7 linked regions of the Mus musculus genome follow. The protein of the gene in region 7 purifies or fractionates together with the protein of the main gene of each other region. This does not show direct contact. Links are inferred from orthologs where the notes say so. Each region holds a gene or a part of one and is shown on either strand. Other genes may lie near its edges. The genes, in order: Zfp638, Srrm1, Dido1, Snrpa, Dgcr8, Ythdc1 and Srpk2.

Region 1 (3,500 bases), on a different chromosome or scaffold from region 7:
TGTAAAACTATGCATATTTCTGGGACTTGTGAGAACTAAACGACTAAATTCATGTAAAATGCTTAGGAGAGCAACTACAACATGGACATTTTCTCTAAAGTTAATCATTGTTACCTATGTATTTTGTCTGTATTCTCAACAATTGAAAGAACAACAACAAAAACCCTAACTGGTTTTGTTACCATGTTATATTGTGTATTATAAGGAGTTCCATGCTCCAGCACCTCCTTGTTAAAGACTTTGTAATTAGATTCCTGGTGACACATTTTTTTTAACCAGAAACAACTGTTCAATAACAGAAATATAAGTATAGCTTAATTGCCATGTGGAACCTAGTAGATGTGAAGGCTGATTCCAAGGAAGAATGTGTCTTTCAAAAATGGGTCTAAATAAAACTTTAAAGTTACAATTCTTTCATGTCTGATCACACACATAGTGTTTATTTCTAAGAATCTTAATGCCTCCGTCTTTTTTTTCAGTATAAAAGCACAAAATAAATCCTCAGTCTTTTTCAAGATTATGTAAAAGGACTTGTGAATTACATCTCAGCACCTAGGACAGCACCCAGTACAGCTCGGCAATGTACATGAACTTGAGGTTTGGGGTTTGTGTTCTGGAATCAGAAAAGAAGAGAAAGTTTTAGAGGAAATTTTAAATCTTTGTAAGCCCTTACTCTAAAAGTATATGCAATGCAAAATGATATCATGGCTTGATTTCAAAATGTTTTACTCTGGCTGTAGAACCCACTGCATGAAGCAGTTTGAGTTAAAATGATCTAATATTTGTGTTTTAACTTTCAGCTTTGTGTTATTCTTGGAAAATTTCGCACCACTTGTGAATTCCTTGAGCCTGGGCATTGCGAGCCCACTTCTGTTGGGCCCGTCTCCTTTGCGCTTTGCTCAGATTGAGACTCAGTTGGCGCTTCAGCAGCTGAATGCCGTTGCCTCCCATGGTTCAACACCACCTTATACTTTTTTAAATCAGGCATTCTTGAAAGTAGCCATGTCGAGACCCAGGTTTAATCCTCGAGGGACCTTTCCACTTCAAAGGCCACGAGCACCTAATCCTCCTGGGATGAGGCCTCCAGGACCATTTGTGAGGCCTGGCTCTATGGGTCTTCCAAGATTTTACCCAGCAGGGAGAGCCCGTGGAATTCCACACAGATTTCCTGGCCACGGATCTTATCAGAACATGGGACCACAAAGAATGAATGTTCAGGTAACTCAACACCGAACCGATCCAAGATTAACCAAAGAAAAATTGGATTTTCCTGAAGCACAACAAAAGAAGGGGAAGCCTCATGGTAGTCGGTGGGATGATGAGTCTCATATAACTCCACCGGTAGAAGTGAAACAGAGCTCTGTAACCCAGGTTACAGAGCAAAGTCCTAAAGTACAGAGCCGCTACACAAAAGAGAGTGCTTCAAGTATTTTAGCAAGTTTTGGATTATCAAATGAAGATCTAGAAGAACTTAGCCGCTATCCTGATGAACAGCTAACTCCTGAAAATATGCCATTAATATTGAGGGATATAAGAATGCGAAAAATGAGCCGCCGATTACCTAATTTACCTTCTCACAGCAGAAATAAGGAAACACTTAGTAATGAAACAGTTTCAAGTAATGTGATTGATTATGGGCATGCAAGCAAATATGGTTATACAGAAGATCCACTTGAAGTACGTATTTATGATCCTGAAATTCCAACTGATGAAGTAAAGAATGAATTTCAGCCCCAGCAGAGCATTTCTGCAACTGTTTCAACTCCAAATGTGATATGTAATTCTGTGTTTCCTGGTGGAGATATGTTTCGTCAGATGGACTTCCCTGGTGAGTCCTCCAGTCAGTCTTTTTTCCCAGTTGAGAGTGGAACCAAGATGTCAGGCTTACACATTTCAGGACAGTCAGTCCTTGAACCTGTAAAATCCATCAGCCAGTCTATTAGCCAAACAGTTAGCCAGACAACGAGCCAGTCTCTGAATCCTCCATCTATGAACCAGGTACCCTTTACATTTGAATTAGATGCAGTTTTACGCCAACAAGAGCGGATCTCACAGAAGTCTGTGATCAGTTCAGCTGATGCACATGGTGGACCTACAGAAAGTAAAAAGGATTACCAATCAGAGGCTGACTTGCCTATTCGGTCTCCCTTTGGGATTGTGAAAGCTTCGTGGCTACCAAAGTTTACACAAGCTGGTGCCCAGAAAATGAAGAGACTGCCAACCCCTTCTATGATGAATGATTATTATGCAGCATCTCCAAGAATATTTCCACATTTGTGTTCTCTGTGTAACGTAGAATGTAGTCATTTGAAGGTGAGTGTTTTTAAAAGATTGCTGTACAATGATGCTCAGTGCCCAGGTTTTCTCTAAATTCTGTTATGTATGCTGCTGTTAACAAAGCGTTAACAAAAGTGCAACCCCAGCACCTACTTGTAATCGTAAGTACTTAAGTACTGAAATGAATGTTTGGGTTTCTACATCCTGTTACTTGGCATACTATATAGTTTGCCTTTATTTTGAACTTTAGTTATTCCATTTATGTAGCATCTAATTTTTCTAATGAATTGTGTACTCATAACACTGCTACATGGGAAAGTATGTTTAAGATTTATTAGGATAAAAATATAAAACTCATCTGTAACATACTTTTAAGGACAATATATCTTCTAGCCCTGTGCATACCTGTTCTAAAGATCTTAATGTTGCTTTAAGGGTTTTTTGATTTTTGTATGGACCAGTAATTTTTTTCTTGAGAAGGTGCTTTTAAAATAATTTCATAGTAGAATGATTCAGGATATAAAGATGATTATGATTATGGAACCAGCCATGAGCTCAGAAAAGAGAGTAAAATGCTGGAAATTCAGAGAGAAACATCCAAAATATATGCTTAAGGTACCTTGTGGTTCGTGTAGACAGAGGAGACATTTGCACAGACGCTGAGGAATGGTGTTATGTAGTGTTTGCTGTTTGATAATAACTAGTGGTAAATTTGAGCAGGAACTACCACATTCCCCCTTTCTTAACATACGTGTATAGGAACCACTGATTCTTTTGTTTACTAATGTAGTTTTTAGGTAAGAATGGTGGGGAGGAGGGAACGTACCTTAAGAAGCTTTAATTTCAAGCTTTAGCCTGGAATTGGCTGGGTAGCTTGAAGAGGTAGGTTTACATATGTGTAGGTTTTAGTTCTTTTGTTATTTTTTTTTCTCTGCAAATACTGCCATTTTATTGTCTTTGTATTCATTTATCAGTTTTCAGTCAGTGACCTAAAACCTGAATTGGTTGCTTTTGTCTTCAAGTTAACTTTAGCAAAAGAAAACATCATTCTGGGCTGGGAGTGTATTCGGGGTAGAGCACATGTTTAACATATATCATGCCCTACGTTCAATCAGAAAGCAGCAATCTATCCACAGAAAAATATGCTGAATTTTAGTACAGTAGTAGTTGCCTTATTCCATCAAAGAGAATAGATGTCATTTGTTACTCAGAAAAAAAATCTC
Region 2 (3,500 bases), on a different chromosome or scaffold from region 7:
AGAAGGGTTACTGTACAATGTTTGTTGTGAGAAGAATTCACTTTGTAAAACAGCTGTTAAGGCTGGAGGTCTAGTGAAGGTGCATAGTTTTGAAAGCTACACAGGTGAAAAAATCAAACTTACTGTTTGTAATTTTGCTGTTACATGTTAAGTTACTTTGACAGCAATTTTCTAATGATAATGTGATTTATGATTTAAAAGGCCTGAACCAAAATGGAAGTTATTCCTTGCGTCTGAAGTATAGCACCATCACCTTATTAGGTCACAGCAGAGTGAGTGTCCCAATGTCGCTCTGACCCAACTCCCTTGATGACGCAGTGTGTGTTTGGAGGTGAGTTGTGTAAAGTGGCCGAACATCAACAACAACAACAACACAAACAAGAGCAATTGGTAAAGCTGTGTACTGCTCTTTAAAGTAGCATTTTGAGGTGGACATTTATTTGAAGCATGAGGGGCGATCTGATTTGACTGGATGTTGCTTTTAAAAGAACTGAAGACTTTAGTTGTAGTTACAAGTCAGTTGCTTACCAGTTAGAATTAAGGCACAGGATTTTATTTACATTGTAGTTAGAAGTTCAGGCAGATGGATTGGCAGTCCTATAAAAGCCAGTTAACATAATTGTTTCTATCTTCCAATATGAAATAATACAAGATGATATAACTGTTTACAATTATTTCTGTTGTAACATAGTTTGCTATTTTGTCATGGTACCCAAAGGACAGTAAAGCCGTACCATAAAACCTTTTGGTAACTGTACTGACGTGAGTTTACTTTTACATTACTCCTGTTCCCAAGAGTTCATGCTTGAATTTTGACAGAACAGTTATCATTCCAAACGATAAGGTATTTCATTTTTAAAACAATGTGGTAATTATTTTGCTTTGAATGTTTTTTAAGACTTAATTTTAAGAAAGGACCTTATGTTTAAGTATATTTATTTATTTCCTTTAGAGACCAGAAACATGGGAGGATGTTTTTTAAATGCTTAATTTACTATTTTATTAGAGAAATGCTTTACTGACTTGAATTTTAGTGAACTTTAAAACCTAAATACCTGGTAGTATTCCCCTGTAGTGAGCATGAGATTAAAGTGTAGAGCTTTTTAAACAATCTTTTCTTTTTTTGTGGTTGTGTACTCATTATTGCTTGTTCGTCTTTTGCAATTTAGATAAATGATATAACATTAAACTCAAGGTGGTTGAGTTGCAGTAGGGAGTCGGAAGCAAGCCAAGGGAACATCTTTCTCTACAGGGGACTTGGCGATTCCAAACCCCCAAGGTTCCAAGAAGACACTGAAGACACCTGGAATCTGTACTTGCTTTGTGCTATTGAGCTGTGCTTGTTATACGGACCTTGTTGCTTGACCAACAGAATCTAGTGTTTAAAAACCCAAATTACTTGTAGAAATCTTGACTCTTAGTTTTGTGGACAGTTGAGCATCTGTGGCATTGTTAGTAACAGGTTGTCATGTGCAGTAGTCAGGCTTTTAGCTTAGTCTTCAGATGTTACAGAGTGCATGCTTAACTCGTTAGTTCTTGTAACTGAGCACTAGATATTAGATAGTTTATAGAAAGTTACCTGTAGTGTAAAGAGAAGTGTTTATGTACGTTTTCAAGTTTTGGTTGGGGCAAGTTTTCCAGCCAAGCAAAAACTGTTAGTAAATGCAAGAATTTATAGATGTTCCATGATTGTTTTTAGAGTTGATAAATGCATAAGCCCACTAACAGCCATACAGTCTAAATACTTAGGAAATCCACAAAGGCTGCTCTAATGCTTTTGGTTCAGTGAGGGAGAATTGGATTATCTAGAAATTACATTACCAAGATGCAACTAGGGAAAACTATTTTTACAGTAGTAGAGCATATATATGTACCTAAGCCCCTTATGGTAGACTTAAATACTAATTTAAATGAATTTCAGATAGGTTGGCTAGTTTCGAAGTAACCTGTTTTTCTTCCTGTCATGTCTTTTTGCAGAACCCAGATTCCAAAATGATGCAAATCAACCTGACTGGGTTTTTGAATGGGAAGAATGCTAGAGAATTCATGGGAGAGCTGTGGCCCCTGCTGTTGAGTGCACAAGAAAATATCGCCGGAATCCCTTCTGCTTTCCTAGAGTTGAAGAAGGAAGAGATAAAGCAGAGACAAGTAATGCTTTTTGTATTGACTTGAGATGTCATACACGGTCGGATGGTTACCCTGAGGGCTTTGTCTCTTTGAGCTACTGTAGCCTCTGATCCGGCTAGGCTAGTTTGCTGGATGTGTCTGCCCACTGAGTTGTGGCTTACCACATTTGAAATTAGAGTGGCGTATTCCCAGAGGCAGTGACAATTGGACAGAGTGCTTTGTTTTTGTTTTTCTCAGTTCTTAAAGTATAAGTGCATTTACCTTAAAAGGGAGTCTAAATAAAGTATCTAAAAAGTGTGTGCAACTTCTCGCACAGGTAGTAATTATAAAGTCCCAAGAGAGTGACTATATAAATGATAAGTGAAATGATATAAATGGTATAAGTTTACATTAATGATAAAGGATAAATGAAAGAGTGTTGTAAGAGTGAACTTGAGAACATGGAACACCTTGCAGCCAGTCACGCCTGTGAAATGGCAGTTGGAGCACCCGTGTCAGTACCTTAATGGATGCTCTTAGTGCTCAACTCTGTGCTTGCAGATTGAACAAGAAAAATTGGCGTCTCTGAAAAAACAAGATGAAGATAAAGATAAGAGGGATAAGGAAGAAAAGGAAAGCAGCAGAGAGAAGAGGGAGCGGTCTCGCAGCCCAAGAAGGTACGGCAGAGCAGCTAGAGATGTGGTGGTGTGTAAGGTGCCTGGGGTCCTTAGGGGTGCTCTGGTCCAAGTTCCCTAGCTAGAAGACCTGGGGAGCACCACTGGAGAGCTGCTGTTTGCTTCTGGGCTAAAGAGAGCTTTTCTGTTGCTAGCCTTTTGGCACGTGTTTTTATATTCAGGAGATTAAGGCAGTGGGGGTGTAGGGGTGGCTTCTTAAGCCTCTGTTCAAAAAAAAAAAAAGACAAAGCCAGATCATTTGACCAAAATGATCACCTCTAATTTAGGTGAGTTACTCATTCTTAAGTAGAAATTTGGATTTCATATTGCTTTGCTTAAGTAAGACATTGGAATTTTTGTTGTTACTGTATTCTGATTATTTCCAGTCCCTTGTATTGCAGAGCTGCTCATTAGCGTTCATGTACTTACCTAATTCCATGTTCTGCTTTTCTTAGATGGTTGTACTGAGCCCAAACTTCAAATCATTTATTTGTTTTCTTCTTTCTTCCAATGAGACTATTGTTAGGTTCACATTTTTAAATCCTCGGTTCAGCTTCTGCTATATTTGTGGTGAAAGGTGAGAATTCCATTAGGCTTTTCATTTTTAGGACTTTAAAAAATAAATCTGTGGGGATTTGTAATGAAAAGAGGAGGTAATATTTTTGTTGTTTGTGCTGAGTTGGAAAACCTAGAGAAGCAGTGCCTCTAAAGGCTGAGTGT
Region 3 (3,500 bases), on a different chromosome or scaffold from region 7:
TGAAAAGCTCACTGCCTCAGCCTCTCAAGCCATGTGCAAACGGTGGACACTGTAGATAGGCAAGAACCATCTGTTGTCCCACAGATCCTATGAGAGTGTTAGAGGACATAACTACAACTAGTCTGGTCCTTTGAATTGGATGCCAGGTGGTGATGGGGCATCTCTGTGGCGTTGTTAGGAGATGAAGTTGCTGCAGCTATTGCTGAGTGGAGATACTCTGAAGCCTCTAGTTCACTCTTAAAAGTGTTCTAGCCAAAAGATGAAAGACTAAGGATGTTGTTCATTGGGTAGAATGCTTGCTTAGCATGCATGAAGCCCTGGGTGTGATCCCCAGTATCTCATAAAGTTGTGAGGTGGTATATGCCTATAATCAGCTTTTAGTAGGGGCAAGAGAATCAGAAATTCAAGATCATCTTTGGCTACGTAGGGAGTTTAAGACATGAAAAAACCTGTCTCTAAAAGTAAGTAAATAGAAGAAAAGATGGGTGGACAGATAGCTCAGCAGTTAAGAGCATGGACCGCTGTTCTTCCAGGGGTCCTGAGTTCAAGTGCCAGAAACTACGTGGTTGCTTAAAACCATCAGTAACGGGATCCATTGCCCTCTTCTGGTGTGTCTACAGACAGCTACAGTGTGCTCATGTATATATAAAGATGAAGCAGATTTGGAGTGCTGCTAACAAGGGCACTTGGGTGTTTTTAGTTCTGATCTCACTTTTCACTTTATTTGCTTGCTGTTCACAATAGAATGTTAAAAGTTTGACTTGGTGATCTATTGGACAGTGACCACATAATCTTCCCATTTTAGGTTTATGATCTGCTGTGATCGGTGTGAGGAGTGGTTCCATGGTGACTGTGTGGGTATTTCTGAGGCCCGAGGGCGGCTCCTGGAAAGGAACGGGGAAGACTACATCTGCCCAAATTGCACCATTTTGCAAGTGCAGGATGAGACAAACGGTAGCGCCACCGATGAGCAGGACTCTGGGTGCAGATCTGTGGGTGCTGATGGCACAGACTGCACAAGCATAGGGACAGTAGAGCAGAAGTCCGGAGAAGACCAGGGCATAAAGGGTAGGATTGAGAAGGCAGCAAACCCCAGCGGCAAGAAAAAACTCAAGATATTCCAGCCTGTGAGTATCTGTCTGCCATGGCAAGCACACATGTAGGGCTTTCTGCTGCTGAAGAGAGCAATACTAAGAAGGTGCCTTCTCTTTAGGACTGTTGGGCTGGGCTTTTGTGGGCAGTTACTGTATCTGTACGGGCCTGGGCCCTGCAAGAGAACATTCTGCTGCTGGTACACCTTGCCACTCCAGTTGGTGTCAATTATGACTGCTCCATCATAGCCTCCTTAGTGCCAGCAGCTTACTGTGCTCTAATGGTCACTTAAGGGGAAATCCATTTCTCCACAGTGCTATTGACTGAGTTTGAAGAAAAAAACCTTACTTTTTCACACGCTCTTGGTGTTACATATTTTGAGTGCTGGCAGAGTTATTGAGAGAAAGGTGCACTGTGCTCTGCTCTTACTTACATGCTGGCCTAAGTTGTTCCATGCCTGGTACTCATGTTTTCTTCATTCTTCCTACTTGAGTTATGTTATCCCATGGGGCCATAACTGTCAAATTTCCCATGAGCTGAGACTAGCAGTCTTGCTGCTCAGGAGAGCTTTCTCCTGCTGTCAACAGGTGTGTTGCATTTCTCAGGAGGGTGCCACCAAGTGCATCTTCACTTTAAACCCCAACCCCCACAGCACCTCCAGCAGGTGAGAGTCTGGGGAAACTACAATCTAGACTGGCACTGTCTTAGTTCTCACTGTGCTGCAAGGTGAAAAAGTGACAATGACATCACACCGTGGCCACTAGCACCGTTTACTGGAGGAAGTTGTCAATTTGATGCTTTTATTATTGCCAGTCAGTATGTTAGACATTGCCTGAATTTTAGTCTGTGTAAACTTAGATTTGGTAGAAGAAAAGCAACTATCTTAAATATTTATCCTGAAAACTGGGAGCTCTCAAATTGTCAGACATATGTTCTGTTCAGTCTTCCTGATATACTTAGAGCTAAACGGTCTCTAGTTTTCTGAAATGTATGTATCCTGTGTCTTTTGGCAATCTCCCTCCAAACCACTCAAAACAACAAACAAAAAAACAGGCTGCCTTTCTTCAAAACTAACAGTGGATCTCTTCTCTCTTAGGGCACGGCACATTTACTCTTTTAAGAATTTTCACTTGAAGGCTAGGGGTGGTGGAGTCCAACCTCTAAAGGCAGTATGAGTTCAATATATATATTTCCCTCTGAGGGGCTGGAGACGTGCTCAGATTCAAGAGGAACTAGGTTCAATTCATAGTGCCCATATGGTTCTCATCGTCATTTATAGTTCAAGTGTCAGGCAGTCTGATATCCTCTGTGCATGGACAGACAGACATGAAGGCAAGACACACATACATATAAAGGAATTTCAATTTTTTGACAGTTATAAAGAGGAATTTTTACCTGGACTCATAAGATGGCTCATTGCATAATAGCATGGGCCATCAAATCTGATTACCTGAGTTTAATCTTCAGATCTCACATGGTAAAAGGAGAGAACTGACTCCTGAAAGTTGTCCTGACTCCTGCTGTACCAGCTATTCATGTGCAAGCCTGCGGGTATATGCACATGCATGCACACACAATATGTAACAGAAATCTTAATGAAAATTTGTAACTCATTAAGTCTACATTTTTTGCCCTCTTTTTTTCATAGTGGTTTATTTTTAACATGTGTGTCTAGGGGAGTAGTGTGCAACAGTATAGATGCCCTCAGAGGACAGGGCTATCTGACATGAGTTCTAACAACTAGACTGCTCTTCTGTAAAAGCATCCTCTGAACCATGTTTCCAGCTCCTCTCTTACTCTTACCTCATTTGGGACCTGCACATGTTTAGAGGGCATATAGATCTGAAGCTCCCATGTGTGCAGAGTTTGTGTGCCAGGGCAGTCAAGGAAAATAGGTTTGTATAGTTCACAAAGATAGGTCTTACCATGTAGCCTGGGCTGACCTGAATTTCGGAAGTCTCCTGCCTTCCCTTCCCATGTGCTAGAATGGTGTTAAAAGATTATGTCATCATGCACAGCTAACAAATGAAAAATGAATTTTTATTCATATAAAACTATTATTAGAGCCATCCATAGTGATGTACACCTTGCACCTTTAGTCCCAGCACTGAGGAGGCAGAAGCAGGCAAATCTCTTGAGTTCAAGGCTGGCCTGGTCTGCATATCAAGTTTCTGGGCAGCCAGAATTTCATAGTGAGACCCTCTCTCAAAAAACAACCAAATAAAAATTCCTGCTAGTGTCTTAATACCAGTGACCACCAATAGTGCTGTCACTGAGCACTGATCACTAGTGTCTGCACACATGATGTCTGAAGTTGCCTGTCTTGTTCTGCAGGTCGTAGAGGCTCCTGGTGCTCCTAAATGCATTGGCCCTGGGTGTTCCAGTGTAGCACAGCCTGACTCTGTGTA
Region 4 (4,249 bases), on a different chromosome or scaffold from region 7:
CTGCTCGGTACTGTCTGCTTTCATGGCACTGGCCTGCATAACGTGCTCACTAGCATTTGTAGCTGCTTCGATTCTAGAAGCCAACACTGAGATCTGTCCTTGGGCTCCATTATCACAACTCTGGCTACTCTGGAGTCACTGTCTGGAGGCACAGAACCACTGGCTTCTGTGTCAAAGCCAGGCCCGAGCAGAAGCTGTTCTCTCTATTGCTGGAAGCTAACTAAGTAGGGTACTTAAGGCATCTGGCTGTTTGAGATCAAGGAAGTGGGACCGCAAAGAGCAGGGTGGCTGTGGTGACTTGTAATCAGGTGATTGTCTGAGATCTGGGCTGGTTTTGGGGGCTGGAGACCCTACCGGTCCTTGTGCAGCTTCAGGAGCCTCTTCACATCCTCTTTGCCTTTGGGGGCTGGGCCAGCCTTCTCTAAGGCCTCCTTCAGGAGCTGGCTGTTCTTCAGGCCATAGACATGAGGGAGAACAGGCTCCACAGCAGAGGGTAGAGGGGGAGGGGGAGGGGGAGGGGGAGGAGCAGGAGGGGGGGGAGGGGGCGGCAGTGGGGATGAAATAGATGTATGGAGACTACAAGGAGGGGATGGTAAAGCTAGGTCCGGGGGATTTAGAGGTAAAGGAGGTGGAATGTTGGTGTCTGGGGTCTCATGAATTATTGGAGAGATTGTGGGTTTTAGGGGGAAAGAGCATGGAGAAGTCATTTGGGGTCTACAGGAAGAATAAGAGGCTCTCCCCAAATCTCCCAAGGATGGAGATTTTCAGTTTTTAAAGGAACTGGATGAGAGATATTCAGGCCTGCACATTGAGATCTGTAAAAAAAAAAAAAAAAAAAATTAAAACTGGAGTTGATAGCAGAATATGGTGTCTGGCCAGTTGTTCTGGGAGAACCTGGGCTAGTATTTGAAACAGTGGAAAGAGAAACTGGGCTAAATCAAATGCTGAAGGATCCCGAAGGGTGGTCTGTGCTATGGGGCTGGGGCTACATTAGAAGGGACATTTTGTAGGTGTCATCTCATCTGCTGTAGCTAAGCTAGTTTTGGTCACTTCTGTTATTCGGAGGTTCAGATCTGTTGTGAGGTGTCTAAAGGATGTGACTTGCCTACTTTTTGCATTGCGGGCCTGAGTTTGAAACCTTGACTTTACGAGCTAGGGTTAAGAGGTTACAAAAAAGGCACGTGGGTGAGAAAACAGCCTAATGGTGGGCGGGTCATGGGCTTAGCGGGGAAGTATGAGAGTCGCAGCAACTCAGCGATCAAAGGCCAACTAAGTTGGTATAAACCTATCAATTTAGGAACTTAGGAATCTGCACAAGCGCCTCCCCAGGAGGAAATGACGTCACCCGGCCAGCCTCCACCTGTCCTTTCCCATCCCACGTGATAGAACTCGCAACCAGCACAACGCTCTTGAAGGTCACGTGATACTGGCGGAAGGGGAAGAGGTGTGGCTTCCGAAAGGCAGTCTTAGAATGCACCAGAGCTCTAACCATGTCCCAATTGGCCAGAAGCTCGTGCCCTTCTTTGATTGGTCCGTTCCCTCGCGTCCAGGGGGCGGGACCCCAAGTGTTCCTTTGGCAGACGCTGAGGCCGGGGGAGAGACTCTGAACTTACCGAGTTTGCCCGCCGTGATTAGCTCGCGGAAGGGAGAAGCCGTTGCCGGGGAAGATAGTTGTGTGTCTGTGCAGCGTAGCTCGGCGGGCGTTGTCGGCGGGAGCGACGGCTCAGGTGGTGGGTTCCCGCGGGTTGTAGACGCTGCTCGGCGCCGGGGAGGCGGGTGGAGCACTTCGGGAGGCCTCTCTTTGAGAGACTAGGATGTTCCAAGTCGGCCCCTACTTTCTTAACTGGCTCCGACATCCGGGGTCTTTTTTCCTCCCGGGACGCCTTTCGCGCACGTGGACTAATGGGAAGCGCCGCTCGGTGTGCTCCGCCTGCCGGGACTCGTAGAGCATTCTGGGATTCGTAGTTAACCTCTCTAGCTCTCCCTTAGCACGCGGGTTGGAGAAGCGGGGGCCTGTGCTGGCTTTGTTGCTAAGCTGTGACATCCTCTTCCAATTCCGGTCTTACTCGACTTCCTCTTGGAAGGGCGATCCCTGAGCATCAGCCCTTTGGAACAAAGAATTTGGGAAACTTAGGGCTAAAGTCGCTTTTTCCTCCTCTTTAAGCCGTACCTGAACATCTCACACCATGGCCACCATAGCCACCATGCCAGTTCCCGAGACCCGTGCCAACCACACTATTTATATCAACAATCTCAATGAGAAGATCAAGAAGGATGGTGAGTTCTTGGGGTAGCCTGACTCAAGGTGATATCACAAGAGTTGACCCCTTTTCACCTCTAGCATCCACATTTCTTTTTCAGCCTTCCCCATTCTGTCTGTTAGGAGTTAACTTTGGCCTTTGTACCTACTGGTTCCTTGGTTTCACCCTAGGTTTTACACTCTGCCCTTTAATCTGCGCATTGTTAGTGATCTTCCAGGTTTTAGCTCATAGGTCCCTTCTTCCTTTGAAGCCTTCCAGGATCGTTCTTGCCATCAGTCTGCTTTCATGAGACTGTCTCTGTCCACTGACCTCTGGGTGGTGGCCTCAGTGATTGACTACAATGCAGATGACACACAGGAGGGATGGGCAATGGATGGCTTTGTGATGTGGGTGATTGTGCCGCGTTCTAAGTCTTGACTGTCTTTAATTCTCACAAGCCTCTCAGATTAAGTAGTTGGAATTTGGGTGGCATAACTTGCCTGGGATCAAATAGCAAGAAAAATGAGACAGAAATGTGGGGTTCTGCTTAAGCAGATTCTTAGACTGGGCTGGTTGGCAGAGGCTGTAATTCTGTTCTTCAGGAAGAGTGAAAGTTTGAAACCATTTGGGACAACATGGCCAAAGCAGATAAAAAAGAAACCAAAGACAAACGGTTTCTTTTAGGGTGTGGAGGTACAGGGCTGTAATCCCAGTACTCAGGAGACTGAGGCAGGAGGAGCTTGAGTTCCAGACCAGCTGAGGCGACATAGCAAGACCCAGTGTCCAAAAGGTTTGAGGAATGTAGCTAGTGTTAGTCTTGCCTAGCAGGAGTAAGGATCTGGGTTCAAATCTCAGCAACTAAGAAAATCAGCATGGCCTGGAGAGAGCTCTGTGGTTAAAGAATGCTGCCTGATCTAACAGAGGATCTGGTTTTGATTCCTTGCCTCCAGGGAGGTTCGTAACTGTGTGTGTCTCCAGTTCCAGGGGATACGACATCCTCCTCTGGCTTCTGCAGGCAAAAAAAAAAAAAAAAAAATCCACACATAAAATTTTTTTTTTTTAAGATTCTTTTTAAATAGAAATCCCTACCAAATAATTCAGTTCTTGTCTGGAAGTAAGGCCCATAGTTAGAAAGTTTCTGCAAAGACTGAATCCCGGCACACATTTTTAAAAAAGTAAACACAAATGACTATTTTTATGTATTTATTTTGTGTGCATCTATAAATGGATGCATGAGGGTGGTCAGGACCCCTCTAGAGAAGCCTTTGTCTTTCAGCTGTTGAGTTCCTGAGATCATATTCAGGTCGTGAAGGCTTGTGAAGTGGATGGATGCTCTACTGCCCTTGCACTGGCCCCTTGGTGCATTGCTTTGTGGAAGTAATTCAGAAGTTAAGGAAGGGTAAATACTGGTTCTTATGACCAACTGGAGAAAAGTGTCGTGGGAGGACTGGGAAATGACTCAGCTGGTACGCATGCTTGCCTGTAAGCCTGACTTCCCAGGTCCCACTGTGATTGACTTCAGGTACCTGGTGCTCCTGCCTCAGGCTCCTGAGGGTTGGGATTCTCGGGTGGGGCCAGCATGTCCAACTGACAGGCTTGTAGCTGTTAGTGGTGGTCGGTAAGTGGACTTGTGATGTCAGCAGGAGACAGGGTAAGAAGAGGGCCATAAGGGGACATCTGGACAGTGAAGTTGGAGAGAGCTTCCTGCAGGGAGGCTGCAGATTTATGCTGAGACTTAAGTGGCTAGAGGGGCAGTCATGGAGATGTCAGGAGAAGGGCATTCAGTGAAGAGTACAACGGCTGAGGTGTGGCGGACACTAGGAGGCCGTGCTTGTGAGTCAGACTGAGACAGGAGAATTGTTGACAGTTTCAGGCTATAGAATGGGATCCTACCTTGAATAAACAAGTGAAGGAAGGAAGGAATCGATGGCATGTCAGGCTTAAAGGCCTGGAAGGTTAGCTTAAGAGTGAAAAGAAGTGTTTGTTATTTGAACAGCAAGTTTGTAGTA
Region 5 (4,050 bases), on a different chromosome or scaffold from region 7:
GGTGGCTCACAACTATCTGTAATGGGATCTGATGCCCTCTTCAGTTGTGTCTGAAGAGAGCAATGGTGTACTAATATAAATAAAATATATCTTAAAAAAAAAAATAGATACAATCTCCCCAACCTTAGGGATATAACTCAGTGCTTTTAGCATTAACACAAGTGTGCTGAGACCGTGAGTTCTTCAACATGTTACCCTTTAGTCGTGTTTTTAGCATCCACTTTTCATGTCCAGCAGCAATTACTGAAGTGTTTGCCTAACGGCAGACAGTTTTCTATAAAATTTTTATTACACTTATTGACTTGAATCAGAACCTAAAGGAAAGCTAAACTATTTGAGGTTCTGGATAGTATAAATATAACTTATCCCCACCTTAGTCCCGGGCTTATAGCAATGAAGTAATGGTTTGTGGGTTCGGGATTTGAAGGGCTCAGGAACAGACCTGGCTAACTTCATTTTGTTTCTGAGTCACTTCTGTCCTAAAGAATTTTCCTAAGTCTCATACTGCTACCACGGGTGTCAGATGAGTCTGGAACTGCTTAAGTTTCTTTATGGTCTTTGGCACTGACACAAGTCTGCAAGGCCTACCTAAGGTCCACCCCAAACTAAAAGGACCCCCAATCGGCTCTGCTTCTCCTTCCTTTTTTGACACGGAGGATGCTGTAAGCACAGCGAACATTTTTAGTCATCAGATCTTTGTCCTTCCTGGTGTGATGATATTGCGAGTAAAACTCCTTTCCTATCCTCCGCATCGCGCATCTTATCCGTTGACTTTCTAGGATGGGTGTACCTCCAACATTGTCCTTGGGACGACCCAGAGCCGGAGGTCCATTGTCATTCGCAAACTCAAAAGTGACTATTGAGCTCAACAGAGGCCAGCTCATAGATGAGCTCCCAGCGTCCCTCGCACTCCCGCGCTCCCCGGCTCCCGGCAGCCTCTACGCGCCTCTCTCCCGGCGCGCCCCGCGGCCGCAACTCAGCCCCACCCGGAGCGACAGCCGTTAGAAGTGCCAGGCTTGCGGCTGGTCCCGCCCATCCCGGTCTCCATAGCGCCTCGCAATTGGGCCGCGCGCGCCTCGCGCTGCCGATTGGCGGCCGCCTCAGCCCGCTCCCGGCTCCCCCAATGCGCGGAGGCCGTGCGCCGTGATTGGTAGCCCTCCGCCAAGGCCCGCCTTCCGCTCGCCCGCGCGGCAGCGGGTCTCAAGAGCCGAGCGCTTTGCAAGGGCCTTCGCGGGTTGTGGCGGCGCCGGGGTCGGTGAGGGTCGACCGGCTGTGGTCGGGCTGCGGGCGGCTCGGGCAGGTCGCGGGCGCCACAGGTAGGTGCGGGGCGCGATGGGCGCCCCGCGGGCGGCGGGCGCTGCGGCCTGGAGAGGCTGCGCCCTTTCCTTCCCTCCTTCCACCCCCACCCCTCCCGGGCGAGGCCACAGGCCGGGGCTCGGGGCGGGGCGCGGCGCGCTAGGCGGGCTGGGCCACGCGGAGTCGCGGCCTTTGTGCAGTGGGGGCCGGGCCCGGAGCCCAGGCATCATGAACGTAGGGTGCTGTCTGCCTGGTAACGAAGCCCCCTGGGCGGTGGGCCCGAAGCCATTGCCTCGCCTTCTGGCGGGAGAGGTGTGGGCAGGGACACCTCAACGCCCCGAACTCCGCCTGTTTTGTTTGGAAAAAGCCAAGAAACCGCCCAAGTCTCCACCAAATTACCCGTGGATGAAGTGTCATGTAGCTTATCAGAATGTGGTTTTACAGTAACAATGAACGTTGTAGAAATAAATGGCAAGTGGCAACCTGTTGACAGCGATACATGTCAAGTAGTATCATCCAGTGGATTTGGGTTGCTGATGGTAGGAATTTGATTTGCCATCTTGCATGCTTGCATGTACCTTATTGCCAGATGCAGAGATGTCCTGTGTTGGGTTGTTGACTCTTGTATGCCAATCACTATTAGGGTGCCCACTCTCTGCTGGCTCAAACTAGACTCCCAGCCTTGGAAGTGGCTCAGTTCCCACTGTAATCCATCACTAACCGAAGATAGTGAAAGGCTGGCCCAGCTAGTGTGGCCTTTCAGTTTAGAATAGGATTTGCGGGGTGACAAAGGAATTGATGAGGTCATACTGCCTTTGGGTTGAGCGGGAGGCTGCAGCTGTAGCACTGGCCATCCGTTCAGCAAGTAGGAGTTGTTCACATGTTTTGGGTAAGCCCTGTGCCAGGGTCCAGGGGAGCCAGCAGTGGGTCTGACTTGCTCACAGTCTAATTGGCAAATCAAAATCTGCATCCATAGGTCCAGTCAGCTGAAGAATAGTGAGGTTTACAGGCAGGAGGGCTACCCTTTGAGCTGTGTTGCCAAACATGTGGAGCAGGCAGTTCACAGTGGCTGTCTGAATTTTACCTTGTGAGAAACATGATTTTGACTGGTTTGCCCAGTTTGGCCTTCTCTTGTCATCATTCCCCTCCCATGTGATCCTATGTACTTTTCACATCAGTTTCCTTTGACATCTTCCATGACTCCCATCTCCAGTACTGTCTGTCCTCCCTTCTGATCTCCAATCTCCTGCTTCTAGTTGTCTATTCCACTTTAACACCAAATAGGTTGATTCACTCCAAGAGATAACCACAGTCCGTGCCAGAACAATCCTTATGCCTGTCTAAAGTCACCTTGGTGCCTCTCATAGGCCTGCATGTATCTCCTAAGAAGCCTTGCCACCTGTTTACAACACCAGACCATTTCCCAGAAACTGTAACCTAAAGTCCCTGTCCAAGCTATCTGGTGAGCTTTTAAACTCTTCTAATTTGATCCCTACTCTTACTCTCTTAGGTTTTCTGGACACAGAGTGATTCATTAAATTGTAAGGTGTTATAAAACTGAGGTAGTGCAGACTTAGGCCTGCTTGTTTGAGTGGCAAAGCAGCTGTACCACTTCCTAGCTTTGTAACCTTGAGCAAATTGTTTAACCTTTCTGTCAGAGTACTGAGTGAATTGCATAAAATCCTTAGAGCAGGACCTGTGTGAGGTTTAGCTGCCATTGTTACCCATGGATCAGTGATACCACTGTTTTGATCCCTTCTGTGCAGTATCCTGCTACTCAAGATAAAAATGTAAAAAACTGAATACTTGTTGCCCAGGTCAGTTTCACTCAGCATACTATCTCTAGCGTGGCCACACCATGGCTCTGCCCCAGGGTCTTTGCTTTTCCTTTAAGTATCTTCTACAGTGACCCTCCTTTTTACTCTTGTTAACCATCTGGCTCCATCTATTTCATCCTTGGGTGGGCACTGGCTGTAGAACCTTGTGTAATCTTTTAGAAGCTGCTTTCTAGATTTTTATCTTGCTTTGTTTTAGCAGAATATTTGTCAGCATGTGACATCATAGATACGTTTCTTGTTATTATCCATCTCACACTAATATGCTCTGTGGGGGAAGTGTAATTGCTCTGTGGGGCAAATGTTTTATCTGCTTTGTGCTTAACACATATACATGGTGTGTATGCCTTATGGGGCATTCAGCAAATAGTTGATTAATGAATTGAGTAAGCTTTCAGAGGGAAGGTAAGAAACTTACCTTAGCCTGCTGCTGAGTTCCAGAGCTGGACAATTTGCCTGCTTCTGCAAGATGTGTACTTTCCTTTTCCAGGGCCTCAGGGTCCCCACCTATGATATATATTTCTTTAAAGCTTTTCCTGCTTTAACACTTATTAATGTCTTCACTTATTGCCTTCATCTGTAGTTCCTCACTGGCCCACTGCTTTTAACATACAGTATGCTTCCCTATCCTCTACCACTCTTGTCTCCAATCCCTGCCTACTTGAGTGTTCTTACCATTAGCATATCCTACCTCAGATACCACAGATTTGACTTGCTGTGATCTCTGTACACCTAACAGGCACTGTCCTGATCTTATTTGAGGTCTGTTAGGATTAAGCATGCTGATGATTTTGTCCTCTGCAGTGGTCCTTGGTTGCCAGGAAACTTTGATCTCCCTCCTGGCTTCTTAGTTATTGCTCTCTTCTCAGTCATTCATAAGCACCTTTGATGGGAACACCTTTGGAGAGGTGTTTTGTTA
Region 6 (3,500 bases), about 63 Mb from region 7:
CAGGTAATTCATAAACTAGTTCCAAGAATGTAATTCAAAGCTAAGCAAGAGTGAGCCCAACTTACCTGTCCACTTCCTGGTATCGGGGATCCTTTACATACCCTGTTCAAACATCAAGCATTTTAATAAATCAAACTTTATATTTTTACTAGGGCATTATAATTAAACCTTCCTTACCCTTGTTTCAACTCTTCCCAGGAATATACTTAAAGGATGTTATCATTCAACTACTACAGAGATTTTCACATGCATCCTGTCTTAAGGACAGAGAACTAACTTGAGTGTTACATGTGAACTTGCTTGAGGACACTGCAGCAGAATGGCCTTTAAACAATGTTTCACCTTGAGAGCTTACAGCTACAGCTAAGTTTTAAACCATGAAGACTCCAAAGGACAAAAATTTGCAAAAAGCTGCAAAAATGAGTATATGTATATTCTAAGAATCAAGTAACAAAACAAGTATCTACTCCACCCCCTAGTTTCCTTTAGAGAGGGTCCAGCAAACTAATATACAAAAATGTCTGACTGGCTCTGTTACTAGGGAAAGTATTTGTCTAAATGGAACACAATTGCCTTCCCTAGAAAAAAAACATACTTCTGTAAAACCACTGTTATAAAATACTAGAGTTATAATGCTAACCAGAACCAAACTCTAGAGTTTTACAGGTGTGTCCATGACTGTAATTTAAACATACCCCTTCTTTAATCTCAACAAACAACACACTAACTGAAAACTTTTACACTTGGATAACAAGCCAAGTGTTTACCATCACTCTCCAAAATGATATCAAGTTTATTTTTTTAAAGGCCTAATTTCTATCTTGATTTCCAATTAATGCTGCATATGACAGGAAACACTATGTATCCTAAGGAACAGAAAGCACAACAAAATTGTTTTCCTACATCTTACACATGTACAGATCAATTTCCATTTTTTGCAAAGACAGAAATTTCATGTAATTATGACTCAATGAAGTGGACTGAACAATCTAAACATGGTAGGGAAGATCTACTAATTAAAACTAGTATGGATTTTCTAAGGAAAAGTAGTCTCTTTTAAACCTATTGAAAGTTTTTGTTGTTTTAATAATTTTAAGTCAAATAATCTTCAGGATTATAAAATATTAACCTGGTCTCTGGTGAAACTCAGGGGGATAGTCAATCCTTGGTTTCTTTCTGCTGTTATGAATATCATAATCTTCTGGTCGACGCCTACACAAATTAGACACATTAGAAATTAAACCAAAAACAGCTGGTAAAACAAACAGCAAAGCAAGAGTTTGACAGAGATGAGTACAAAGAATAGCCCATGGCCTCCTAAAAGAAATTGCCATTAATTTTTGGTGAACAACTTAAAAGTTCTTAAATTTTAATTCCTCAAAGGCAATCCTTATACACATACTGTGGAGTAGATCTCTCTGTAATCTCACAGTAAAAAAAAACCTCAAGAATTATCTAATTCAACCCTGTAAAACACATTTTAGTAGTCTAAACATATATGAGCAGTTCTTTAACAAGTCAAAGTTTCCCAAATGTCACCATTCAGGTAACAACAGAAGGAAAACCACATCAGCAATTATGTAATAGTTAGGTCTGAAATGTATATAGATATAAGTTTAGATTCAATCTAAACAAATCTAAATAAACAAGGTTAAGAAGTCTTAAATGATCCCTCTGCTTTACACAAAACTAGTTTTCATATTATACAGAAAGTTTTAAATTTAATAAAGCTATGTAACAGGTTTTGAAAATGTTACTTGAAAAACTAGCATCTCAGTAACATTACTTTCTTTAATACATTAGTTATTAAGGTAATTTTTCCAGAGACAATGACTTTTAAAACGGCTCTCATGAATTGCTATGTAATAAGTTTTAACAGAGTTCATAACACTAGCTCAAACTTTAAAAGGTGCTGTTAATTTGCTGAGGGCTGTTCTTCATTGTCTTTCATAAACCTTGATAGCTAGTATAACAATACAACATAAAATACACTTTACTTAGCATTTAATAAGAGCTAAACAAAACAAAAAGTTCCAAAACATTTAGGGATTAAACATAATCCTTTTACTATTAGTTTCAAATATATAGTATATAATAACCAAACATCAATAATTTTTCAGCTCTCTCTCTAAATATTAAATGTTCTCATTAACTTTTGCACCAAACCACTCAAACTGCAGTTAAATCCAACAAACCAAGTACCACCCACCCCAACAGAATAAAAACAGTTGCATCTACAATAAATAATACTAAGTAAATTAAAAGCTGGTTATAAAATAAACATACCGCTTTCTTGTAGTTTGGGGAGTGCATTTACGACCGGTATAAAACATGATAGTAACAGTTCATATAGTAGTCCAACTACTGACTGTAAGCCACATACATAAATGGAGGCCCTGGCAGGCTTGAGAGGTGTAGTGGTGTTATAAGTATAGTTTGCAGTCCATTGCAAAACTGAGGAAAAACTTCACTTGTATTTACTGTATTGCACTGGAAACCTTTTAGCTTAAACTTGAAAAGACATCTTGGTGATCAGTCCTTTTAGGCCAAAAGTAAGGGGCTCTGCCAGGTTTCCTCCTACCTACTCGACAAAGTCCTTTTTAAGCTCAAAGAAATGGGACTCCTGTTGGATTATCTGTACCTACCACAGGTTGTTTCCAGCAAAGGAAACGTAACCAAAGGTTTCATCCCATCAACCACACATCCAATAGTCTTTAGCAGAATATTTTAGATTAGCTGTATGCAAATCTATACAGGGGAAGGTGTTGGGTAGAAGGGCTTAAATCAGTTCTTTTCAAAGACTTCTCTCCAATTCTGTAACAAGTTAAACCCCCTTTTTCTGGAAAATGCTGTTTAGTTCATAAGGTAGTGATCAATAACCATGGCGATCCTCTAAAAAACACTTTAAGTCCACAGGTACTGCCAGCATCTGGAAAAGTTGTAAACAGACACAGCAACAGCCCTTCGTTTTGGTTTGTTGCCGGGTCTCCCAGGGCCACTTGATCCCCTTTGGAAAGAACCTATTGTTTTCAGAAGCTCAGCTGGATGTGTGAATTCACTGGGCACATGTTACAGAATATGTGGCAATGGGGTTAACACATCACGGTGACAAAATTGGAAACAGTCCCAATAATGCTCCTCTTGAATATGAAATAACTTAAAACATTTTATCCTCTAAGTGAGGCGTCATCTTCTCAAAAAATATTAGTGATCCTTTATAAAAGTCCCATATGTGGTAAGGCTTATCCAGAGACACACCTGAAAGAAAGGGCTTTATAAAATATTAACAATTTTTGCAAATAAAGACTTCCTCCTCTTCCTCCTTTCTAGCCTGTTCTTAGCAACAAAATGCCTACCTCGTTTCACTTGCTGTATTATCAGAGTACTATCTAGTCTAAACTGGTCATCACTTGTTAGTAAATTATTTTTTCTGCATTAGGAAAGATCCCCATTTTCCTCTTGAAAAAAATGAGGCCAACGTGACCATGTGAAATCCTCAA
Region 7 (3,500 bases):
GCAGATCTCCGAGTCCTTGCCTCACAAAATAAGAAAAGAAAAATAATCCGAACGTGTTTTCTATTCCAATGAAAGTTTTTTTTACTCATACCTGTTAAGTTATGCATGGTGCAGGGAATATGGACAAACAAGCAGATCTCGTTAAAGAGTAGACTTCTTTTACACTCCCTACTACTTTTTCTCTGGATGGTTCTGCCATTTTTTAGATTAGCTATTTCTGGATCTGCTAAAGTCACATGTGAGACCCACTGCTTGTAATTTTCCATGAAGATTTCATAGGGTCTTTTCACTAAAAAGACTGACTTGGCTATAATGTTCCAAATAACCAATGGTTCACTTTAAGCTTTTATTCTTTTTTCTTCCTAGATTTTCCTTCACTATATAACCTTGGGTGGCCTGGAGCTTATGCAGAACAGGCTGGCCTCAGAGATCTTCCTGCCTCTGCCTCCCAAGTGCTGATATTAAAGGAGTGCACCACCACACCCAACCTTTACATTTATTCTTTATCATCATGCTACCAAGAATCAGATATAACCATATGGTACCCAATCACAAAAGTGTATGCTAGAACTCCTTGGTATATCATACACTCGCTAGGGTATTATTAATAGAAGAACCACCTTAAGATTAATATTCTAGCTTCCTTTTCCAATTTGACATTTCTAACCTCATTAGACAAATTTCATTCAAATGGTAAAAGTTCTTTCAGAGGTAGGGAAAACATAAACACACTCTGTGGTTCTTATAGGAATGTTTCTATAGAAATCATGACTCAGCAGCCACCATTTGTCATAGGCTCTATAAGGAAACGCACAGCCTCATTGGAAAAACCCAGCATGCATAGTTTGTGAATGAGTGGCATCGTCTATCTTACTACAGTGTATGATATAAAAATGTTAAACCCTAAGAAGGATATGTGTCTTGTTCACACAGGGAAAGATTGGAGGGGACAGGGGAGGAAACCATTGCACTTACGATGAAACACTGATTAAAAAAAGGGAACACCCACATTGTAGATAATGAAGCTATAACTAAAGCCTCGTTCATAAATCCATTCTGCCTTAATGTATGTTCTGTGACAATCTGCAACTCCTTTAGCTTTGTTGACACTACAGAGAGCAAAGGTATGTTGATTCTGTCTCTTGAAATACAGGGTAATAAGCAAGGCAATGTCTGGAAAAACACCCCAAAACACTTTAATTTTTAAGACAAGTGCAAGCACCCCAAACAAAGGATTATTGTTACAACACTTGTTAGCTTTTCACAATCTAATTATTGCAAAGGCATATGAATAAATGTTAATGGACAAAGTCAAGAAAAACGAGGCACCTTAATGAATAAAAATTTTTAAAAAAAAGACATTCAACCCACTGACTTCTAAAAGAGGCTAAATACACCTCCTATGTTACATTCTAAAATAGTATTGCCTACTAATGGTTTGTATCCTGGATTCTACAGTTAATTTTAAGGAAATGCATAAACTAAAACTGTATGCGGTCTGCAAAGGGGAAATGGCCTTCTCATTCATGGGAGGTAAGGAAAAGGCGAGGGAAGGGAAGCTGCCTAGGACGGCATGGGCACGGTCGCTGTTACCTTGAAGCTGTGAGGAGTGCTCGGTCCACTGCGTTGCAAACTGTCTAAGCCACGCCTTGTGTTTTAAACAAACACGATCATGCTTTTCAAAAAATATTTTTTTCATTCCACACACTGAACATATTTCTCTTGTCCAATTTAATCTACGTATTTAACTTACAGTGCTGGTGAGAGGTGACACTACCGGGGATTGGGCCATCACATTTTAAGTGGAAATGACTGATACTTTAAACATAGCTTAAAAATATGCAAAATACAAATGGAACTGCTAGATTATAGTGTCAAATTTTTAAAGTTTTTCTCTCTTTAAAGTGCCACAGAGGGCATGGCACCTCGTCCAGAACCACTTGGGTTGTTATGGAATGAAAAGTTTGTGCAACTTTCTGAAGCAGTGGAAATCTGCAACATGCAATGTAGGCCAAAAAGCGCTCAGGACTGGGTAGCTTTTCTGAATGTGAATCCTCATCCCCTATTTATGCAAAGTAATAGTTACATACACTAGTATAATACAGGAATGATTTCCCTTTGCCAGACGATAAAATTGTACATTTCCTTGCTCTTTCTTGGTTCCAACTGATAATTTCTTAAGATTGTAAATTATATAATACTCAGCTAAAATATGTCTTCATAAATAGTTACAGAACCTGCCAAAACACAAAAGGGAAAGTATTTTTCGTTCAAAAAAAAAAAAAGACATTTGAATGTCACACAACACAAGAAACAATGCTTAGAGACATGTTATTGTTTCCAGAAGAAAATGGCCAGTAAACTACTTAGCTGAAGACAAAGACCAGCCTTCCCCAGGACCATGGTGCACAGGAAGCAAAGTGTCAAACAACAGTACCTCAAAGCACTACAAAGGTCTGAGGGTGGAGCCAGCTCACTGGTAATCCTGTTAAAGAATGAGAGCCACTGTGTAGGTCCAATGTACTGGGAGAAATTTGCTAGCTCAGAATGCTATATTTGTAGAATCTGCTAAGAATTCAACCAAGGATGTCGAAGGCATTCGCCAGCTGAGGCTCGTTTTTCTGGAACCATCTCTAACATTGGGATCAGGAAATCTGTAAATTGTGCAGCATCTTCATGGGGCCAGCCATACTTTTCCACAAGTACATCAAAGAGGCTCCAGGGCTTCAGCTTGGTGATGTGCCGCAGTTCTCCTGGAGAGAGAGAAGTACAGCATCAGAGACGCTCCACGAGTGCACATCTCAGGATGACCTGAGCCAGACAGGCTTCTTCTCACTGCAGCAGACATTTTACCTCTCAAACCATTGGCTACAACAAAGAACGCTAGCTTTTCTCCCCTAAGCAAGTCTCATTGAAGAGCTAAGGGTCAAGTCGAAGCACGCTAGGTGAGTGTAAATGGGTTACGTCTGAACAAATAAATCAGCTCTGTGCTTCTTGAGCTGCAAAAGCACTGAGAGTGTCTGCTTCCCACTGGAGAGCTGCTCACACTCCAGCTTCGTGGTGCCGCCGCCATCTGTAAACTGGCTTAGGATACCTGGATGATGCAGGCTATTTGAAGTTGTTGCTGTGTTTTCACATGTGCTTCTACCTCAATGCAAATCTAACTTTTTCTGATGGTGCACATGTCCTTTTGAACTGTGCTGTCCACTGGCTCCACAGGGCTAACAGGCACACGGTTAGTACACCTACAGAGCATAGGAACTCTACTTTGTCTAAATTTAAGAAATAGCCTCAAGCAGCTACTAGCAACCCAAAACAACGAATTTTTATCTCTATTCATTTATAGTAAAATATGACCTCAAGGACAGTTTTTTATAAAACCTTAAAATGTTCTAATGTGGGGGGGAAAGAGGGGTGGGGAGAAGCAGTGGTGGTACACGCCTTTAATCCCAGCACTCAGGAGGCAGAGGCAGGCGGATTTCTGAGTTCGAGGCCAGCCT

What was found.
Region 1: the proteins of Srpk2 (region 7) and Zfp638 purify together in Homo sapiens (affinity purification with mass spectrometry; 3 studies listed by BioGRID and IntAct, with this or other methods). This does not show direct contact. The link is inferred for Mus musculus from reciprocal best matches to the Homo sapiens genes SRPK2 and ZNF638.
Region 2: the proteins of Srpk2 (region 7) and Srrm1 purify together in Homo sapiens (affinity purification with mass spectrometry; 3 studies listed by BioGRID and IntAct, with this or other methods). This does not show direct contact. The link is inferred for Mus musculus from reciprocal best matches to the Homo sapiens genes SRPK2 and SRRM1.
Region 3: the proteins of Srpk2 (region 7) and Dido1 purify together in Homo sapiens (affinity purification with mass spectrometry; 3 studies listed by BioGRID and IntAct, with this or other methods). This does not show direct contact. The link is inferred for Mus musculus from reciprocal best matches to the Homo sapiens genes SRPK2 and DIDO1.
Region 4: the proteins of Srpk2 (region 7) and Snrpa purify together in Homo sapiens (affinity purification with mass spectrometry; 4 studies listed by BioGRID and IntAct, with this or other methods). This does not show direct contact. The link is inferred for Mus musculus from reciprocal best matches to the Homo sapiens genes SRPK2 and SNRPA.
Region 5: the proteins of Srpk2 (region 7) and Dgcr8 purify together in Homo sapiens (affinity purification with mass spectrometry; 3 studies listed by BioGRID and IntAct, with this or other methods). This does not show direct contact. The link is inferred for Mus musculus from reciprocal best matches to the Homo sapiens genes SRPK2 and DGCR8.
Region 6: the proteins of Srpk2 (region 7) and Ythdc1 purify together in Homo sapiens (affinity purification with mass spectrometry; 4 studies listed by BioGRID and IntAct, with this or other methods). This does not show direct contact. The link is inferred for Mus musculus from reciprocal best matches to the Homo sapiens genes SRPK2 and YTHDC1.

What each region holds. Positions count from the first base shown.
Region 1 is NC_000072.6:83,927,853-83,931,352, forward strand, and holds part of Zfp638 (zinc finger protein 638), read left to right. Parts: intron 1-800; coding exon of another isoform or gene 801-1,002; coding exon 1,003-2,313; intron 2,314-3,500.
Region 2 is NC_000070.6:135,343,147-135,346,646, reverse strand, and holds part of Srrm1 (serine/arginine repetitive matrix protein 1), read left to right. Parts: intron 1-201; exon of another isoform or gene 202-1,977; coding exon 1,978-2,148; intron 2,149-2,667; coding exon 2,668-2,783; intron 2,784-3,500. UniProt on the Homo sapiens protein: Part of pre- and post-splicing multiprotein mRNP complexes. As a component of the minor spliceosome, involved in the splicing of U12-type introns in pre-mRNAs. Involved in numerous pre-mRNA processing events.
Region 3 is NC_000068.7:180,685,103-180,688,602, reverse strand, and holds part of Dido1 (death-inducer obliterator 1), read left to right. Parts: intron 1-805; coding exon 806-1,127; intron 1,128-3,426; coding exon 3,427-3,500. UniProt on the Homo sapiens protein: Putative transcription factor, weakly pro-apoptotic when overexpressed. Tumor suppressor. Required for early embryonic stem cell development.
Region 4 is NC_000073.6:27,193,472-27,197,720, reverse strand, and holds the start of Snrpa (U1 small nuclear ribonucleoprotein A), read left to right. Parts: upstream 1-1,449; 5' UTR 1,450-1,730; exon of another isoform or gene 1,731-1,940; intron 1,941-1,960; exon of another isoform or gene 1,961-2,164; 5' UTR 2,165-2,186; coding exon 2,187-2,277; intron 2,278-4,249. Other genes in the region: BC024978 (UPF0692 protein C19orf54 homolog), read right to left, coding at 355-707. UniProt on the Homo sapiens protein: Component of the spliceosomal U1 snRNP, which is essential for recognition of the pre-mRNA 5' splice-site and the subsequent assembly of the spliceosome. U1 snRNP is the first snRNP to interact with pre-mRNA.
Region 5 is NC_000082.6:18,286,369-18,290,418, reverse strand, and holds the start of Dgcr8 (microprocessor complex subunit DGCR8), read left to right. Parts: upstream 1-1,250; 5' UTR 1,251-1,316; intron 1,317-1,322; exon of another isoform or gene 1,323-4,050.
Region 6 is NC_000071.6:86,828,266-86,831,765, reverse strand, and holds part of Ythdc1 (YTH domain-containing protein 1), read right to left. Parts: exon of another isoform or gene 2,287-3,500; intron 1,213-2,286; coding exon 1,130-1,212; intron 103-1,129; coding exon 66-102; intron 1-65. UniProt on the Homo sapiens protein: Regulator of alternative splicing that specifically recognizes and binds N6-methyladenosine (m6A)-containing RNAs.
Region 7 is NC_000071.6:23,504,968-23,508,467, forward strand, and holds part of Srpk2 (SRSF protein kinase 2), read right to left. Parts: intron 2,754-3,500; coding exon 2,569-2,753; 3' UTR 1-2,568. UniProt on the Homo sapiens protein: Serine/arginine-rich protein-specific kinase which specifically phosphorylates its substrates at serine residues located in regions rich in arginine/serine dipeptides, known as RS domains and is involved in the phosphorylation of SR splicing factors and the regulation of splicing.